Drosophila melanogaster: one gene and its partner. Changing the gene in region 2 together with the main gene of any one other region gives a genetic interaction. Each region holds a gene or a part of one and is shown on either strand. Other genes may lie near its edges.

What was found.
Region 1: of tn (region 2) and Mlp84B, changing one suppresses a phenotype caused by changing the other (phenotypic suppression), as found in Drosophila melanogaster (one study listed by BioGRID).

Annotation. Positions count from the first base shown.
Region 1 is NT_033777.3:7,110,250-7,121,937, forward strand, and holds Mlp84B (muscle LIM protein at 84B), read right to left. Parts: upstream 7,484-11,688; 5' UTR 7,402-7,483; intron 6,468-7,401; exon of another isoform or gene 6,403-6,467; intron 5,590-6,402; 5' UTR 5,511-5,589; coding exon 4,023-5,510; 3' UTR 2,601-4,022; downstream 1-2,600. Other genes in the region: Alh (alhambra), read right to left, coding at 8,709-8,799, 9,213-10,633, 10,693-10,889, 11,026-11,504. UniProt on the Drosophila melanogaster protein: Plays a role in cell differentiation late in myogenesis. Transcription factor Mef2 is essential for expression.
Region 2 is NT_033778.4:18,984,193-18,993,217, forward strand, and holds the start of tn (thin), read left to right. Parts: upstream 1-3,151; 5' UTR 3,152-3,499; intron 3,500-5,191; exon of another isoform or gene 5,192-5,496; intron 5,497-5,583; 5' UTR 5,584-5,674; intron 5,675-6,844; exon of another isoform or gene 6,845-7,141; intron 7,142-9,025.

The DNA of each region.
Region 1 (11,688 bases), on a different chromosome or scaffold from region 2:
ATGGTGCAGAAAGGCAAAAATGAACGTTAAGTGGCATTTACCTGGCGACGCAACAACGGTGGAGGGGCATGGGAGGAAGACAGGTGAACGTGCCTGTTTTACAAAACAAACAAACCCAACAAAAGCCAAGGGGGAGTCTTTGGGTTCTTGGGTTGGGCGGTGTTGGGGCACAAATGTTGCCGTTGCAACATTGCGACCGTAATCGAATCACCAGAAATGTGGCAAAGGAACAATGCCGCTTCTTTGCCGCTTGGAAAATTAATTTTACTGCAGTCAAAACTCCGTATCACGAACATCACCAACAATGAACGTGTACATTGTGATACAACAACTTTAAGTGCCGCCAAGAATATCAGATTATTATTTAATAAAAAAGCAAGTTTCATTGCTTTTTGTAAGTTACCTGTTGTAAAATTTTCATTGTCATAGGGACACGAAATGGTTGGTTCATAATTAATAGGAACTCTGCCATAAAACACCTAAACATGCATTAATTAGTGCAATCCCTGGGCCAGAAAGGTGATGCTTTTAAGTCTCGACAGTGGCGGATCGTTCAGCCCGACAAACAAATCTAAAAAAGAGGGTTTCCCAACAAACAGCAGTGAGTGCAGCACTCAAGGAATCAAATGAATTGTGCAAATATTTCTGCAGGCAACGTTTTTAACTTTGCACACGCCACTGAACAAACCCATTAAGGACGCACTATTGATCATCAAACGAAAGGAGGGTAAGCAGCTCAGGCCTGCCAAAAATCATATTAAAACAAAAATGTCACTCTGAAATATTTACACAAGTGTCAGTTCAGAGGTTTAGTTCAGCCAGTGCTACCAGGTCGTGGGAGTTTTATTTTGGGGTTGAAAACATGCACAAAATATGAATCAGGTTGATATTTATTCACATCCCAGTGAAAATATAACAATAGGTTGGCATTATTTATGACAAAGATGCTAAATTTGCTATCCCAACTATTATATTAAAATTTAGACAAGCCAAGTCTTTGAGGTAAGGTTTGGTCAAGGACCAAACTACCCACATATCCATTTTTTTTATTAGCAACAACAGCACGGTAACTGTACCACAAGACACAACTAAAGGCATTCACAAAAGGTCCAAAAACAGGAATAATATAGCGACGCGTGTCGCTAACGGGAATTTGTCAAATTCAGGCAACACGCGACCCGGAGATTCGATAAAAACTCAACGACCCACCCACACCCAAACATGGTGTTGTTGTTGCTCGGGTGACCTGACATTTCAGGGAAGTGAAATAAATTAATTGCCACGCCAAAAGGTATTTGTCGAAGCGAGTTTCATGGTCATTTAAGAGGAACTGGCCAAGTGAAATTCACGCCGAGCGACTGACTTTCGGAGACAAGATCATAAAAAAAACAAACCCTCAGCCGAGTGAGGGTGTCATAAAAAGTAGTTTTGTTGCAAGTACACCCAATAGTCAGTCAGCACATGTAATTCTCAGTTATTTTCCCCTGACATTTGACAACCGCTCATAATCGACACAGTCAAGAGGAACACAAATTATGAATTATCACCCTGCCCGTTTGCGGGTGGATTTTTAAACTGTGCACCACTACTATCGCTATCGAAGGACATGGCACCCGAGCCACCCGCTTGAGGTCCTTCCGCTTCCTGATTTTTTGGTTCTCAGGCCACACCCCCCACAGTTCCCGGCGGTAGTTTGCAATTTGGTCCTCACAATTGGTGGCCAAAATGAGCGCAGCAGTGAGCCGCTGAAAACTGTCAGTCTGTGGCCAAACGGTTCCGATTCGATGCGGTTCCATTTTAACCCCCGCCAAAACCAACCAACACACTGGGACATTTTACTTTGTAATGTGAAATCAATAAGTTGGCCATTAAATGCACGCTAGTCACGTAAGGCAATTGATATCATGCACATTTGATTGCACATTGTGTCATTTCGAATGTGTCATTTCCTGATCTAATCAATCAATCGCCTTTTCTGTAACATCTCAAAGCGGTCGGTGGGTAAACACAAATCCCCACTGGAAAACCTTGCACTCGTCTTCCGCAAATCGAAAAAAAATCAGCACAACCACATGTTCTCTATCTTAGCCATTATCATGTTCGATCCGTTATACAAATAGTCGCGGACTTCAGCAAGGCATAAATCTATTCGCGCCATTCAAAGCCAGAAATTGAACATTAATAACATACTAGAAAAGCCATATCGAATACGAGTAGAATACATCTCCAAGTATATTTAGAGATCAACATCAGCGGCGCAGTCCGCAAAAAATATTCTCACTGTTGTGGCTCGTCAATTCGGGTGTTTTTGAAGTGCCGTGTGTCATATGCGAAACAATTTCAAAACCAAAATCACTCGAAAATAGACGCTGACTCGGTAAGTCTATAAATATTCTCGCCAATGCGATACCAAAACTAACGTAAACACACCTGGCTGAAGGCGATTTATTTGATATTTGTGTCTGAAACAAAAAAAAATTATATTAAAACAAAAAATAATTTATTTAGTTTGGCCAACCCCTTGGCAACGTATTTTCGTGGTCAACGTCACGGAGCATAAAACCATACCATACCTATAGGATGTCGAATAAAATGAATAGAAATGTGAATAATGCGCGCAAGTGGGCGTGGGACGGAATCATTAAAATTTTGTTCCCAAGGGGTTATTTCGGGTGGGGGGTGATCCTAAAAGTGCATTAGCAATAAGAACTTTGCTCTAGGTGGGTGGGTGAGTAAAGCATTTATTACACAACATTCTCAGCAGGCACGTGTTATAATTATTATAATATAACTAGGGATTCCTCACAAGTATATATGCGAATAAATACAATCTCTTAAGTTCTTCTCTTGAGTGAGAGTTTTGAGTGCTGTGAAAAGCTTTCGGGTCAGCTGTGTGAGGCATATTGGCATCATATTTATATTTAGAAAACCATTTCAGTACGGTTATGGAACATTTCGATGTTTTTCTCGAGAGGCCACACACACACACAACCAAGGATTTATTCCTGTACGTATATGTAGGGAACGTTCTTTGTGCGTATGTTGAGCAATTATTTTTCACGATGTTTGTCGGCCGAACAAGCTATATATAGACCAGATGAGCTGGCTCAATCCGAACCGAACGATCCCGAAACAAACGGAATTGAACTCAACCCAACCACCCACCGGTCATTCCAATCAGATTGCCAACCAACCATTTAGATGCAGAAATCTCAGGTATGCACACCCAATTAAATCAATTAAAACTACGAAAACCATTTCGAAATCATTTTGTTTTCATGGAACCCACTGGGGCATATATTATTGGATGTTATGTGTGTGTGTGTGTGTATGCAGAACATGTACGCTGATGTATATATATATAAATAAATATTTTATATCTGCCATGGCTGGCATCCCAAACAGAATGCAAGAGATTAGATGGGTGAGAAATCATTCAAACATCATTATAAATAATCAGATTTCATAAGTATATCGTAAGAACTAAATCAGCTAAATATACAACATCATATCTTTCATCATTGTTCGTCGTAAGAGTATATTTATGTGTATAAAATTTTTCCATTTGCACAAAGTATGCTTTTGGGTAATTCGATTTGGAGCATAAGACATACTTGGCTGGTCTTCGAAAATAAATAGTTTAAGATACAAAAAAGTAATAACGACTTTGGCTCGCAGCAGTTTCACCTGCAGAAAGTTTTGCTTTTCTCGATGTGGTCAATGTCGTTTAGTTCGTTAGTCTGTGTTCGATGGTTAGTTTCGCTTTGAGTCGTAAGTTTTATGTTTTTGGCATTTATTCTTTTTTTCTTGTTTTCATATTAAACTTAATCTCACATAACCTAAAGAAAATTGAATTGCATTCAGTGCATCGTTGATCAAAAATCGTTGGAAGCAAAACGAAGACTAAGTTAGCTAATTTCAGGGATAGTTAGTTAAAACAGATTGGTCATTAGACAGATGCATCGGAACGGTTCACAGACATGGATGTGGGTTTCGATTGGATATACATAAAATAGGCTCGTTTAGAACGTTGTCAAAGCGCCCGCGCCCAGACCGTAGCCCACTCCCTTGGGTCCAAAATTGCGGCCGTAGCAGGCTCGGCAGTAGATATCGCCGTCGGGTCCATCGTTCAGGTTGGTCGAGTCCAGCGATTTGCGGCAATCCGAGCAGTAGAAGCACCTCTTGTGCCAGATCCTGGTCTTGCTGATCATCTGCTCGGCGGCGAACACGGCGAAACCGCAACGCGGGCAGCCGCCCGAAGTCTTGGGTCCGGCCAGAGGACGGCCATCTGGGAACTGGATGGTGCTCTCGCCACTGGTTGACACTAGAGTGGGGGCGTGGCCGTAACCAAAGCCCTTGGGGCCGAAGAGCTTGCCGTAGCAGGCGCGGCAGTGGATGTCGCCATCGGGTCCATCGCAGGCCAGGACCGAGTCCAATGGCCGGTGGCAGTCGGCGCAGTTGTAGCACTTCTTGTGCCACACCTTGCCCTTGGACAGCTGTTGCTCGGCGGCGAATACGGCTCCTCCGCACCGGGGACAGCCTTCGCCGTCACGGGCCTTAATTGACGTGGTGTCCGGGTTATAGAAGGGCCTGTTGGCGCTGATCTGATCCTCGGTCAAGCCATCGGTCTGCAGGAAACCAGAGCCGCATGCGAATCCATAGCCATGTGGTCCCCACTTCTTGCCGTAGCAGGTGCGGCAGTACACATCACGATCGGGACCATCACTGGCATTGATCGAGTCCAGAGTCTTGTGGCAATCCTTGCAGTTGAAGCACTTCTTGTGCCACTCCCGACCCTTGGAAAGCTTCTGCTCCGCTGCGTAGACCACACCGCCGCAACGTGGGCAACCCTCACCCGGACGGGCCTGGATCTTGTCCACATCAATGGCGGCACGGATTTGCGGTGCTCCGTCGTCGTGAGCATAGCAGTCGGACTGGAGAGCACCACCGCCCTGGCCATAACCATAGCCCTTGGGTCCAAACTTCTTGGCATAGCAGCCCTTGCAGTAGATGTTCTTGTCCGGAGCCTCGCAGCACAGGATCGAGTCCAGACCCTTCTTGCAGGTACCGCACTTGAAGCACTCCTTGTGCCAGCTGCGACCGCGGGCTAACATCTGTTCGGCGGCGTACACATAGCCACCGCAACGAGGACAGCCCTCACCTTCGGGGGCACGAGCAATAGCCCTGGGTTCCAGGCGGGCTCCATTCCTTACGGACGGCACATCGCCGTTCTCGCGCAGGAACTGTGACCCGTTGTCCATGGAGAGGGTGCCAGCTCCAGTGCCGAAGCCGTAACCTTTCGGCCCGAACTTGCGACCGTGGCACGTCTTGCAGTAGAGCTCGCGCTCGTGCTCTGTGCAGTTGGTGGAGTCCAGGGATTTGTTGCACATTCCGCACTTGAAGCAGTTCTTGTGGAATACATAGCCGCCAGCCAGACGCTCTTCGGCAGCGTAGACACTCTTGCCGCAGCGCGGACACTTGGGGGCCTCGATCGGTTGGAAGGAAGGCATTCTGTCTGTGTTTCGGTTTTTTTAACGCTATCAAAATGATCTACGCGAGTACAATTACTTTACTTATTAAGTTTATTATCTGAAATAGCAAAATAGAAGAACACATAGAGTCGATGGGATCGTGGCGTAAGTCCTGCTGGGAAATGCAGCAGAGTGGAAGCTTTGGTGGCGATGAAAGCGATGAGGTAAGCATCTGTCATTTTTGTATGTTAAATGGTTTCCAAATTATTCTAAGCCCAACTAGTTAATTCAAGCTAATCTACATGTTAACCTATTTGGACGATTAAGACGCTTGTTTTATCTTAAGTTTACAATGAACTATTACAAATTCAACTTGACAGTCGCGAATTTCTCCTCAATTTGCATTATGTAGATCATCTATCAAGATTCTTATCTGTCAGTCGAGACGTCATCGCCCGTGCCAGAAAATTACCCAACCGGACGTATGTATACGTAATTCATATTGAAGATTCCTATGTTAATGATCAGAAAATAACATCTTTCTCATGACAACAAAAAATAAAGGAGGAATTTTTCAAATCACAGAACACAGAGAAAAACATGAGCAATAAATGTGTATCTATCTATACAGAAAATGTTGTATAAAAATAACGCAGACAGGTAGATAGATTTGGGAAAAGCACACACAAAAAATAACTGTGGCAGATATATATATGTACATATCTGGGTGTTCTAAAACTGAGTCAGAGCTAAAGCACCACCATCAGATGAGCATCGTCCCTGGCCGGTAATCTGGTTATCTAGCGGTTGCGATGGATTAGTCAGGTGCTTTGCAATGGTCTTTTGCTGCGTGCAAAAAAATCGGTTAAGAGCTGGCGATATCCAACCGTTGGGTGTGAGTGTATTATAGCCAAGATAGAACGGAACCTACAACGCACTAAAACCACACACGGAAGCGCCGAGTACTGAACTGGAAGATTGCTCAAAGCAAACTAGTCTATATAATTGTGAGTGCACACGGCACGGCAACGCGGTCGACTTTTCGCCGCTGCCACTGAGTTTTCCTGCTCAGCACACCGAGTTGAGAAACTTAAGATGCGGCAACACGGAGCAGTTTTCCTTCGTTTTATTTCAGTTTTCATCAAATAACGCCAGAGAGTGGGATGGAAACATATTGGTATGCATCTGCGGTTTTTAAACTTTTTCGATTCTTCGAAAAAGTTTTTTATTCCATATCCTTCACTCGTTTTTTCTTGACCGTATCTCATTCTTGGATGTTTGCTAACTTTTGTGTATATTATATGCACATTTATCCCAGTGGGAGATTATCAAAGATGATCGAAAAGTTGCATATCATTGGAAACCTCAGGCATCTGGGAGTTTGTTTATATTCCCGACTAAATATAATACTTTTTGCATGCAATAAGATTATAAAACTCATCAAAATGTACGTGTTTTTTACGTCGAGTAAGGACTGTATCTTTAATTTTTCTCTATTCAAGGATAGTGACTATTCGATTTGATCTGATGAAAAGATGATCGATTTGTACTTGAATAAAACTCGATTGAAAAAAAAACTCCTCGCAAATAGTTCTCATTTTATTGAGTGAGACAGTTTCCGTAAAGTTTTTTCACACTCGAAAAAACGGAATCTATTAATAATAGTGTGTGGGAAAAATGCTTCCTGTGTGGAGCCATACATTCCTCCTCTCATTTGTGGGTCAAATTATGGTCCAAATTACGCACAAGTTCTAAATTTAAACGATCGCTTGACAAAACTGTATTTTCATCGCTTCGCGTTTGGTTTGTAGCAGAGCTTGAACCGATATTTTTTAGACAAGCACAACACAAAATATTGGAATTTACTGGGTTATGCGTGATTGGTTTTGGTTTTGGTTTTCGTTTTCCATTGACAAAAACTGATATTTACTTTTCGTTCGTAATAAAAAGGTTCGCAAGAGAAATATCCTTAATTTTAGTTTAGCTTCGATTAACAACGATTTTCGACTGATCGCGCTGAAAAATTTGTCAAGCGCTTTCAGTCTTTGTCTGCACACGGCACGAAGGCAACTTTGTCGCCAGAGAAAATGATAGGGATGACTATATAGCCCCAACAATAAATACATTAGCCATCCGAACAAGAATCCCAACAAATCACAAAATATCTGCTCTCACATATACAATATGCTAGTATACAAGAAAAATGTGCTTTCATAAATTGTATATACGGTCATTTTATAGCAGAATATTCCAGGTGATCGTGCTCATGACAAGGCGAAAAAGATGATGTTGGTATTTTATTGGACCAACAACATGGTTCAACTGTCTTGTTCAAAGCCACTGCCTGCCTGCCTTTCGGAACATTGGCACTTCAACATCAATAAATTAACATGCGCATTTGCATTTAATTAAAATTCGATATTTTGCCATGCATTTTTGGTTCAAAAGGAAATTAATGGGGCATGGGTACATCATTGAGCATCAATCAGATCGGCAAAATAGAACCAGACATGGCGGGGGCCAACTCGGCCAGAAAATACCTCTTAATATCATTACTAAGAATGATTTCATTTTGATATTAGTTCTAATGGTATGATTTTACCGATTATTTTAGTTTTGAAATCAAAGTAGTAGTAGTAAGTTTCTCAAATTTATAACAAACTAATTTAATATTTGATTTATTACAGTATTTCGATCGAAACACACACCATTTTAAAAAATGGATCGATCGAAAATTCCGAAGTTCAAGGGGTAGCATTGAAAAACACGGAATTTCTTAAAGACAAGAACGGGTGGGCAACACCTTTTGTATAATTAACGCGCACCTTCGGCAGAATTTCTCAAAACATTTTTAACATGCATTTGCAATTGCATTTCCACTTATAAGTATGATACAAAAATTGGCAAGGCGCCTGCGTTCAAAACTTTTGGCGAGTGAAACGAATATAGTAGTACTCTCTGTCCCACTCTTTAGGTTTGATCAGAGAAAAACTAAATGACAAGTTGTATACAAGTGTAAAAGATAATGGGAACCATCATTAATATAGCAACATTGTATCCAAAAAGAGAGAAAACACTTTAAGAGAATGTTTCGCAAAAATCACTCAAGAGATCCGAAACAAGTTTCCTTAAAAGTAAAAAAGCTTATATTAACTCAATATTTCGGAACGATAACTGAGTTGTTTATCATTCTATTAATAGTATGCTAAAAGATAAACAAAGAAAAAATCAACTTACCCTCTTGGAGCTCTTCTCGATTTCCTTCTCAAAATCTGTTAGAGGCGTCAGTGCAACTTGAACATCTTTGATATCATAGCGGGATATTAAGCTACAGAAACAACCGAAAAATATATTAGTGTGATTTTTTCTATACATTGTTTCAGTAGAAAAAGGTCTTATACGGGGTTATTTTAGTATTAGTATATTCTCTAATAAACGAAACGGATTCCAAAAGTTGCCTTTTTCAATGAAATTACAAAAACATATTTAAAAAGTCTGGTTTCTCAGTAACATTGGGCACTGTTTAATATACATTATGTTCTAATTATTACAATTTATTTAGAATAACAAAATAAAAGAGTTGTCTACACCGGGTGTTCGATAAATTAACAATTTTGCAAATCATAGATGTGCAACACAGTCCCATTTGTTTCTTTAAAATCAGGCGTAAACTAAGTAACTACCAAATTTTGAAAAATGTAAATTGTAAAAGACCTTTTCTTTGCGTTTCTCGTTCCCCACCTATTGTTATCCTCCAGAGCGGAGCCAGAGGTGGAAATACTGCTAGTGGACTTAGCAGAATCCGCTTTTCGTTTTTTCGATGACGAGTTAGAGGAGCTGCCTGAGGAAGTGCTCGTAGATGTAAGGCTATTCGCCGTCGATGACGAAGAGCCTCCCTTATTGGTGCTTAGATTAGTGGCCGCACTGGAAGATACGCCACCAGTACCAGGAGCTATTGTTCCAGGCATGTTGCTTGCCGACGATCCAGCGCCTGACAAATTCTCCCTTTCTGAATTCGAATTACTACCGAATCCTCCGGTGGAGTCGTTCACAGTGGAGCTTGAGGATGTGCTGACTGATCGCAGATCCGATCCAAAACCAGAACTACTGTTGCTCAGATTACTGACTGATTGCAACTTTCCGGCTGCGCTTCCGGCTCCGGTTCCATTTGTGCTAAGGGTGTGGGCATGATTTGAATGCTCATTGGTTGTGGAAGGAGCTGAGTTAAGTCCACTGGCAGCCGAACTGCTCACATGAGTCCCAGTACCGCCCGATCCAGCTGTAGCAGTTGAAGTCGACGAACTGGGCTGGGTGTTGATACTGCTCGTTGTGCTTAAGCTGCTGGTGGCACTGGGTACTTGATTGGAGTCTTTGTTCTTAGAAAGCTTTGATGAGGATTTCTCTCGTGTCGACGAGGAGTTGGAAGATGTTGATGATGCAGATGAATTTGTGAAATTGTTATTCGCTGAATTGGTAGAGCTATCTTTTCCATCCTTGTCCTTGCTGGATGTGGATTTGCTTAAGCTTTTGCTATGTTTCTCCTTGTAGCTGTTGCTACTACTGCTCGAACTGCTGGCCGATGATTTGGTGGTTCCTGGTGCTGTTGACGATTGACTGCTTGTCGATTGCGTAGCACCACCGCTCGAAGCTGATATAATTCCCCCACTTCCACCAGGCACGTTTCCAGCACTGCTGGTGGACGAACTGCCTCCGGGCAGATTATTGTTTAAACTATTGCTAATGTTGCCGATGTTGCTACTCCCTGGTAGTACACTTCCTCCTCCTGTCATATTGCTAGCACTTCCCGAATGCACAGAACTCGAGGAGGGGTTGGGAGCCCCTCCTGTTGAGGATGACGAGCTACTGCTACTGCTGCTAGATGATTTACTTGATGCATTGCTCTTGCGCTGCTTTGCGGAAGATGATACGCCACTCCCACTGCTGCTTCCAGCAGAGATTCCAGCACTGGAGCTTGCATTCAAAACATTGCTGCTGCCACCAGCACTGCCACTGCTGCTGGTAATCTTTATGATTGTGGCCGAAGTTGTCGCGGAGTTCATGGTTGAATCGATCTCCTTCTCGGGCGACGAACACGAATCGGAAGAGGTGTCATGTTGAATGGGTTTATATGGAGGTATTGTTTTGACGTTGCCGCCCTTTTTCTGCAAAGTATCAAGAATTTGAACGGAAAAATCACGAATGCTATCCCTCACATACGCACCAGTTTGCTGTAATGGTGCTGACAGTAGCCGCAGTACTTCACATTATCCAGATAGTTACCAGCCTCCTCGCAGAGCAATCCAAGGCTCTGGGCGCAGGTGACGTGGAACTGCTGCTTGCAATTCGATTTGTTGCACTGCATACAGGCGCCAACATTGGCACGATTTGGTTTGCCAATTTCCTGGCAAATATAGCAAGCTGAAAATGGAAACGGATTGTAATTAATTATTGCCATTTAGCTAAGGCTAGTTTAACAAACAGGGGTTATAATTTTTCAATGAGTAACATTTTTTAAATAATATATGTAAATATAAAACATTTAAACATAGCTTACTCTTCGAGTACCGCTCCTGCGGTATTAATGACAATATGATGGGCTCCATGGTGGTCACATTCCCAAATCGCACCTCTGGGATGTACAGGGCGCAAACAACGTGCGCCCACCCGCTATTATCCGTCTTCTTAAGGGCGCCATCCCGCGAGGGACATAGTTCGCATCGGACGCGAGAGGTTCGCTCCTGGGACTCGCACTTGCGACAGTACCAGGGTCCAGTGGGAACCGTCACAATGCCATAGCACGCCTGGTGCACTGCCACAGTACAGTTCTGGCCGTCACAGTAGACGAGCGGGTTCTCCGGCCACCCCCGCTCGTCTGAACAAACGCAACAGCCGCCCACCATCTCCTTCATATCGTCCAACTTGAACTTTTTAATCTTGACCAGCTTCTTGTTCAAGCTTGTGGAGTGAATGGTGTCGTCTTTGCTGGAGTCTAGCTCCAGTTTCGCATTGAATGAAGACGGAATTTTGTTGGAGCTGCAAGTATATATATATATATATATATATATATATATATATATATATATATATATATATATAATATAAGAATTTTCCTTAAGTAAAAAGAGGATTTTTAAAACTCAATATATTTGGGTCCAATTAACGTTACCAGAGGAGCGTTGAAAGTTGAGCGAAAAGTTGAACATACATAAGTATGATG
Region 2 (9,025 bases):
AAGTTATTAAAACTGTGGAAATATAAGATCGATTGGTATTAAATTTCTTGCACTGCACGACAAAATATCGCGGAGGATGAGAGTCATCCTTGAGCTTAGACGACAGCATATGCTCATGCATGCCTAATTACGATAAATCCTTGCCCTTGCCCGTTCTCACTTACCAACTTTCACCCCATCCTATGCCTTTCACATTCACTTTCGCTTTCCCTTTCCCGCTCTCACTTTCACTCTCGAGTCTCGAGAACAAGCGCGCCCAAATGAAGTAGGCAGAAACAAGAAGAACAACAGCAGCGCCACTTCACAAGGATCATTCGCGTGTGAGTGTGTGAGTTTGTGTTTGCCAGGACTCTTTGGATGTAAGAGTGTGTGTAGGCGTTCATAATTATGGCCGTATTTAGAGAAATTGGTTATTATGTGCTTAACGCCATTTGTCTGACTGGAAATAGTTTGTTTTCGGGGGCCCCCTGCTGTTGGACATATCTTTGTGGAGGTGTGCTTAGCCAGTTTCTTAATCCGGAACCACTTAGTAATTTTTATCTTTTAGTAACGTGTTGGAAGCAAAATAAATAATGAAATGGCTTTAAATATTCTTGAAAAGCTTAATGCCTAGAATATTTTTAATAGTTAAATTAAATTGTACCCTTAAAGCTTAAGCGTTTAAATATGTGTGTTTAACATTATACAGGAATTTTTCTGAGCGGAAAACGGTTGGAAAAATGTAGCATAAATTTACAGAATGTAAATTTCACACTAATTCAAGCTTAACAATTTGAATCAATTATTATTTCGCGGAAAGCTTTAATGTCAATATGCTTTAGTTTATAGAAAATATGCATCAATTAAAGAAAAATTAAGCAGTTCATAACGAGTTTAAACATATACAAGGGATTTCTCTGAAAGCGAATCCATTGGCAAAAAAGCTTAAATTCCTAGAAAATGGATTTTCCACAAATTAACTCTCCATAATTCAATTGAAATTTTAATCCCCCAGGAATTCAAGCTTAAGAATCAATTTCAATATTGGGTATATTTTTTTGACTCTCCTTTAAATTTATCAATTTAATACAGCTTATTGCAAGGAAAAGAGATAAGCTTGGTAGCTATTTTCTTTGTAAAACAAAATGGATTAGCTTACTTCAAAAGCCCTTGAACTAAGCTTATTTTCAGGGCCATAATCCCTGGCCGATTTCAATTAAACTTTGCTGTAAAATACCAATCAACTAGCAACTTTTGCGACCACCCTCTTAGTAAGTTGGACTTGGCTAATACTTGAAATTGTCTGCTAATTCGTAATTATTGCTACTTTACCATGTTGCTCCTGCGTTGACTGAATTGGCTGCCCTTTCTTGGGCAATTAGGACGAGGCGCTGGCTGGCAATGCCAAGTGTCCCCTGGTCGAGTGGCTTTCACTGGAGGTTCCGGATTCCCAGCATACGTGTCCATCAATAATGCGTCCTGGCTGCTGGCTCCTGGCTCGCATCGCCGCAGCCATGCCTTCCATTCGTCAATTGGCCATCCATCAGTTCTAATTAATCATGGCTCGGGCCTAATGAGTTGCTCTCAAATATGCTGGGAATGAATAGATGCCACTATTTCGGACGCTCCGCTAATGGAAATGGGTCTTAACTCGTGCTATACAATTGTCGCCGTTCCGATAGCCTTGTTGCAGTGTTCACAATGCAATGTCCGCAATACGCAATTTCAATTTCACGAGAACCAGCAACTGCGCACAAATCCAGCGGTGATTCTCATGCACATGGAAAATATACGAATCCTTAGTTAATTCTTGGAAAGCAGTTTGATAAATTAATTACTTTCAAAGGAACATCGTTAATTAATAATTTTCGTTATATCAGCATCGAATAGGAGGGGCACACACTTTAACTTTTTATTAGTGACATCAAAATATTATATTGATGAAGAGATGCTGTTCGAAACCTAATTATGTATGTTATATATATTCAAAAAATACATTTGGTTACCATTTTAGTAACTTTTTCTCAGCGTGTAATAGAGGATATAGCTGTGGCTATGGCGTTGTCAGTGGGACTGACCTAGAGTCCGTCAACAACTTGAGCTGCCTTGGCGAACGTGTTGACATCTTTGTTTTGGCCCGCTCATAATTCGCATTTTTTCGGTTTGTTTTTGTTTTGACTGCGGCTGCGGCTTTGTTTTAGCTCGCTATTTTTTCCGAAAATATATTAACGGCTAACCCGATTCATCAGCCTATTGACAAGATGTCATGTGGGACAAGCAAATGACCGAACAAAAGACCGAATGTCTGGCGAGGATGGCTAAATGCAGACCAATCATACTGCATGTGATGACGGAGAGGAATTTGGTATTTATAGAATAATAAGCGAAAAATAAGTAATATTAAAGAACTAAATGATTTAAGACAACATAGTAACAAATGTTGATCTTCTTAGGCATATTATTAATATATATTACGTAAACAAGTGCTTAGAAACAGAACTTAATAAATTAAGATGAAATAAATATTAATAATTCAATGACAAATCTTAAGCGTATATATTTTATTATGATGTCTAGAGTAAAAAACCTACCTATCTCTAAATCATTTGTCTTTCTGTTAACACTTTTAATTATGCTGAATTCTATAACTACATAAAACTCGCGCGATATTTGCTAAGACATCAATTTCCTTATTCTATATAAGTATCAATATTTCTATAAATATTTAAAAAAATTCGAAAATGAATCATTCTGCCAGATAAATGCGTGGGCGTCGATCTTTTCCTCAGCTTTTCTTTCCGCTGGACTAAAGAAAAGTGAAAATCTCACTCTAATAACTGCGAAATAAGCCAGAACAATAACAGGTAAGAATACGTATTGAACAATATATTGTCGCTCTTGGACTTTCTGCGCGACATTGTAAAAAGCGAGAGGAATTCTTACAGACAATTATGGTACATATATTATATTATATGTATATATGTATATAATTCTTGCACAGGTTCGTTGGGGTCGGGTGAAGCTGGGAAACAACAAAAGTGCTACGTGAAAGTGGGAAGAAGACGCAGAAATATTTGTGGCACTTTTGTTGTTGCCTCAGGTTATATTTATAAAATTTCACCTCAAGAACGGCTGATCATCAAGCGTTCGAGAGTCGAGCAGAGAAAAACATTCATTTTCATTTCTGGCACGCTCGCGAGTGGACGTGCGGACCGATACGCCGATAATAGCTATAGCCCAGTTCGATTCCCAACCACCTATATCCATATATATATATCTATTAAGTGTATATAGAGGGGTGCAAAGATCTACCCAAAGATCTTTCACCTGTCGCGCAGTGCGTGAGGGTGCGTCCAAAAGCACCAGTAATCGCGACGCGAGTGTTGGTTTGAGCCAAGGCGGTAATACATCGTACCTCAGTTTGAAAGTGAAGTCAGTGAAAGTCCTTGTGCCGCCAAGGCATGCGAATAAATTTGCAAAAGTTTCGCGAAGCATCAGGAAATAGAGGAAGCCAACGCAAGTGAGTCGAACGGGGTGGATACGTCCTGATTTTAAGCTCGTTTTTGGAAACGCATTCAAATGGAGATGAGCTCGACGCATTCAATGGCTGCTGATTATGTAAAAAAAAGAAGAGAGAAAACGGCGAAAGGCGTGAGAATCTCGGCGAGAGAAGGAGCTTGGGAAAATGTCACCTGGCTGAAAATTGCGCTTTCTCAACATCCCACCGTGTGCACACTCCCACATTCGTGAAAAGCTGTCAAAATTATTTTCATCTCCTTCGGCTTCGCGTTCAAAATTTATTAACAAATTTTGACATAATCATGTATACAAATATATGTTGATGAGGATCTGTTATACGCTATATTACGTGTGTGTGTGTGTGTGTGTGTGTGTGCATATCTCATCAGAAAGCATGGCAATAATTTGCCCACACTCACACACACAGGCACGCACACAGAGACGCACATTGCTCATACGCCGTGTTGCTGCCTTATTTTTAGTTCGATTCAATCAGCGACATTTTCAGAGATTTTCTATTTCCATTTCTGTTGTTTGTGTTTGTCTTTTGCCCGCTGCTCGCTTATCATTGATTGCTTTGTTTGCTTTTGTTTCGGTTTCGGTTTTGCTTTTGCTTGTTCCTTCTCCCATTCTCGCCATCCATTTGGAATGTTTGTGGTGGGCTTTCTCGTATTTATTTTTATATTCACACCTCTCACACAAAACAATTAATTTCTCGTTTCGAAATATAAAAATAAAAATAATACGGAAGATTAAGTGAGAGAGGCGTGTGCGGTTTAAATTTATGTGCCGCCGGAAAGTAGGCAACAGTTTTTTCCAGTTTTCCTTTTAGCTTTATTGCGAGCACTCGCCTCTTTTCAATTCACTTCATCTGCCCTCCAACCCCATCCCTCCTCCGCTCTTTTCGAGTGTGCTTCAGCTGGGCGGAAGTTCAAGGTCGCTGGCAGCATTAAAGAAGTGCCATTGCAGCACGCTGGCAATAGATATCCACCTAAACTAGTTTTGATTCGAATTTACTGGCCACTTTTGCAACTTAAATTAAAAACTGCTCGAAAGTAGCGCGTTGGCAACTTTAAAGTAAATGTATTGCTTATGATTTCTTAGTGTTGTCTCATTTTCTTTATCCATTCATTTAAAGGTATTTTAAAAACTACATAAAGTTGTACACCTTTTTGTTGAAAAGTTTTTGTTTCAACAGACAAATAGCATTTATATTACCAAAATCTAATATGGAAAAATATTCCAAATGTTTCCGAGCTATTGAAGTTTTTAAGTCACTTGTTTTAAGTCAACTTGTTGGTTGCTGAAATCTGTATTATGTTTAAATATTGCTATATTCAAAAGCTTAGTGATTGCAAATAAAACCAATCTGCAATAATACTAAAAACGAAATCATCATAAAATGTATGAATTGATGTATAATTTTTCATGCCACATTTTACTGTATCATTTTAGTAACGCAATGAAGCTCCGAATTGTGCTCATTAAAGAAAATTAATTATAAGGGATATCAATGCAATTGTGTGAACAATTAATTTCTATTAAATTCCCTTTACGCGTTCGATGCTCAAAAGACCGCCGATGTAATCATGTTATTATAGTTTCGGAAATTGGTTTTCCATTGTTTAATTGTTTCCTTTGGTCGAAAGGAACTCGGCCACGGCAAGTTAATTAAAAAGATCTACCTTCGCAGCCATATGCTCGACCCCAGCTGATTATTCATTAACCTGGTCAAGAGTGTGTGGCCCACCGAGGAGCTTATCTGTCGCAGTGCACAATAAGCGAACCTTAAGCGCATTCCGAACTTCATTATCTTCGACTGTCAACCGCGCCCAATCGAATCCCATTCAATACTATCCAATCCCATCCAATCCCATGCCATCCAATGAATTCCAACTTTCACCACCCGCCTTCATCATTGTTTTGCGTGCCGCAGCCTTTGAGGCCGTATAATTAAGTTGGCATGATGCGGCTTATGCGCAGCGTGTTAATGGCCAGGTAAATGGCTACTCGACCCTCACTCCCCACAATTCACTCACAATTGCCTTTGGCTCTAAATTTAATATATTTTCTTTTTAATTTCAGCCAGCAGAGTTAACAGCCAAAGGAACAGGCCCCTTTCAAGGGCGCCTCGGATACCCAAGTAGACAATAAGAAGAAAACAACACTTGGAAACGTAAGTTATCACCGCTGAAATTGGAACGTCACAATACTTTGTAGTTTCTATAGTATTCCTTTGGGAGTGCAGCTAAAATTTCAAAAAGTTTCGATTGCATCTGCTTCTCCCGTCTGCTCCGTTTATTTATAGCCCAAAAATACAGTGCAGTTTTCATTTCTTTATTTGTTTTTCTTTTTGGCCTAGGAGTGCAGACTGCAGTCTGTGAATTCCGGGCTAGTGAGTTCTATTTTCGGCATATTCCCATAGGGAGATAGAATGATATATACAGAGCTAGAGGAGCGAAGTTCTGACCTTGAGAAGCATGCACAGAAAAAAAAACTGCGAAACTGGATAGAATTATTTTGGTAAAAGTAACAAATGTTTGTGTAGGGAACTTAACCTACTTACTTACCGAATGCAATTATATGTAGTTAATAGATACAGATAGATATTTTGAACATGTTTGAGAAAAAGCTTAATTGTAACTTTTAGGGACAACTTTTTGAATGGAATATGAAATTTTAGTTCGTATTGCAGCAAACTAATGGTTTACTGCTACTTAAGTTAAGGGAAAACTTCTAATGGAAGTAGAAACTTTTCACTTGGCACAGAGAAATGTTCCACTAGTTTGACGGAACAGCGAATTCGAGCGATGTTCGCTCCAATTTTCAATGAAATTTATTTTTAGGGCCCGTTACAGCGAGATACACAAAAGCACACAAATAGCCCAGCAATGAGATATAGATGGAAAATGCCGGCGTGCGTCCGAATGAGAAAATCAGCTCAGTTGATGACGTCAAGAGTGTGCGTGCATGTATTCGTACTAAATGGAGGAAAATCTTTTCGGTTAATCCAATAAGTAGCCGATGTCCAGGTTCGAGGCGAGAAATGGGAACTCCATTTGGAAGTAACATGCAGTGCGAAGTACTCATTTGTATCTTTGTATCTTATTAATGGCGCTGCAGCCAAACTGTAGATAAAGATACATACGCACGATGCCAAGAATATATTTTTGCGTTTGTGTCTGACGATCGCGCATTTTGTTTTGTTTCGCTCTCTGGCGATATATAGACGGTATATATCTGCAGATACACAGCGAAATCGGGAGAGAATGCCGCGGATTGTATATATATTTAAAATATTGTAGACTGTTGCTCAGCTCGTGTGCTTGGCAATTTTCACTTGCCATCAGTCGCTTTTTACATTTCCAATCGAATTCTACTAGGCGTGTTGCCCAGCAAAAACTGAAAAAAAATATAAGAAAAAAATCTAAACGACACCGTACCGAATTAGATATATTGAAATTAAAGTAAGGCGAACGGAAATCGATTGTACTCATTAAATGAAAGTGCCCAAAAACGAGTTGAAAAGGACTGAATTATAAGGATTCTCGCATTGCCAAAACCAATTGCATTTTATGATTGCCTTCGAGTGCCGCTTTGACAGCAACAGCAAGGATTGCCAAATAGTTTCCCATTTCAATTGGTAAGTTGGTGAGGTTTCTATGTATTTCAATTTTTTTTTTTTTTGGTTGGTGATTTCTGCTCAGTTTTGGCTGACCCAAATTTCATCGAATTCATTTCAATTTAGTTGTGTTGATTTCAATTTTCAGTGCTTTGCGTTGATGATTTTCTGTCACCAACTGTCAGCAGCGCGAAAAGTTTGACCCATTTTAGTTTTTCACATTTGGCAAAAAACTCTCCCAGGGTCAAGTGATTCGTTTCCGTTTCCCGTTCGCCATTTACTGTTTCCTGCCGCATAACTCGACTTAATTTTAACCCCCGCCAAGGTTAATGATTTTCTCGTGCTCTTTTTTCTGTAAACAAAACATTGAACAACTGTCGCCGTCAATTTGGCGTTTGAATGAAAGCAAAGAGCCGTGGGGAAATTCAAAGGAAACCAGAAAACACAGATTTCAGCTTCAAGAGCATTTAACATTTTCACGGATAATTGGTTTGGTATTTCTGAAAATCGCTCACACAGCCCGCGAATGCATTCACCACTATATATACACATAAATATGTATGCGTATAAGTGTATATATGTATTAACGGACCCAGCTGAATGACCTACCCACCCTTTAAATGAAAATGTAAAACGGGGTGGTTGGATTTTGGTAGTTATGCCGCCTTCTGGTGGCTTTCATTATGCTGGCGAGCAGCGTTCGCTATTCATTTTAATCCTTTCAGCAGCGATTCACAAATGCAATGGCTAAATTAGTTTCGCCACACACACACACACACACACACACAGTGCACTTCGCTCGAAACCAGAAAAAGGACCTACACTTTCTAATAGGACCACCAGTTTTGCCTTTATTTACCACGCACAATTTGCGAGAACGACAGAATTTCTATTCAATTTGATTTTAAGCGCATTTTCCAGTTAATTGCACTTTGTTCGCATATGTCCATAAGCTCATACATATATCCACTTTTTGCGATAGCTTCATTGTGAACTTTTGGCCGCATTAAATGGATGCTTTAAATATCCGAAACCAAACCGAGCCAAACACGACAATAATGGCAAACAGGCGCACGACAATTAGCGGTGGGCATCATGGACATCACGGTACCGATTCCATGGCTATATCCTCATCCGCCCACACTCTCAGTTTATTTACGAGCAGGAAGTGCGCATTGGTGCGCGTTTTTGTGCGCGACACACGCGGCGTATACGCGATGCATATTGCCAGCAACGGCGAAATCGTATTTATATTTATACTATACTTCATATACGCGGCTGCTGCCTGCTTTTCTTCCCTCTTAATACGAAATGTGTGTCATTTTTATTATTAAAATCTCAACTGCGGCCAGCAATGATCCCTTTTCCAAATGTGAGAAAGCTATTGCAGAGTGCTGAAAAAATGTTGCAAGTAGCTTATGAAATTGTGCAATGGAAGCTGATTTAAATATATGATTTATTGCCACACACACAAATTTACTCGGAATATGTGCTGCTTGCTTGTGGTCGATTACTTGATGAATTATATGTCAATCAGATGGACTATTAAACATAAGTTTCTTACGAGTGCTGATGATGGTTTGTCTTAAACATATCCCTACTTAAAATCAATCAATTTCATTCGAATTATTTCAAATATTCAAGCCTCTTTTGAATACAAATAACCAAACATGGGTTTTATTTACAAAAAAAGTCATATTTATTCAACGATATAAAACGAACAGGGAATTCAAATATGCCAAAGAAATGAATATTTATCAGCTGATTTATACAGTTCGCATTTTTATTTTCATGGATATGGTAAACATCATAAAAGTGAAACGTTTAATGCAAATATTTGTTGGTATTTGTTGAAGAGTGAATCATGCTGCGCGTTTAGCATTGAGAATCGGAAATGTTAAAAGG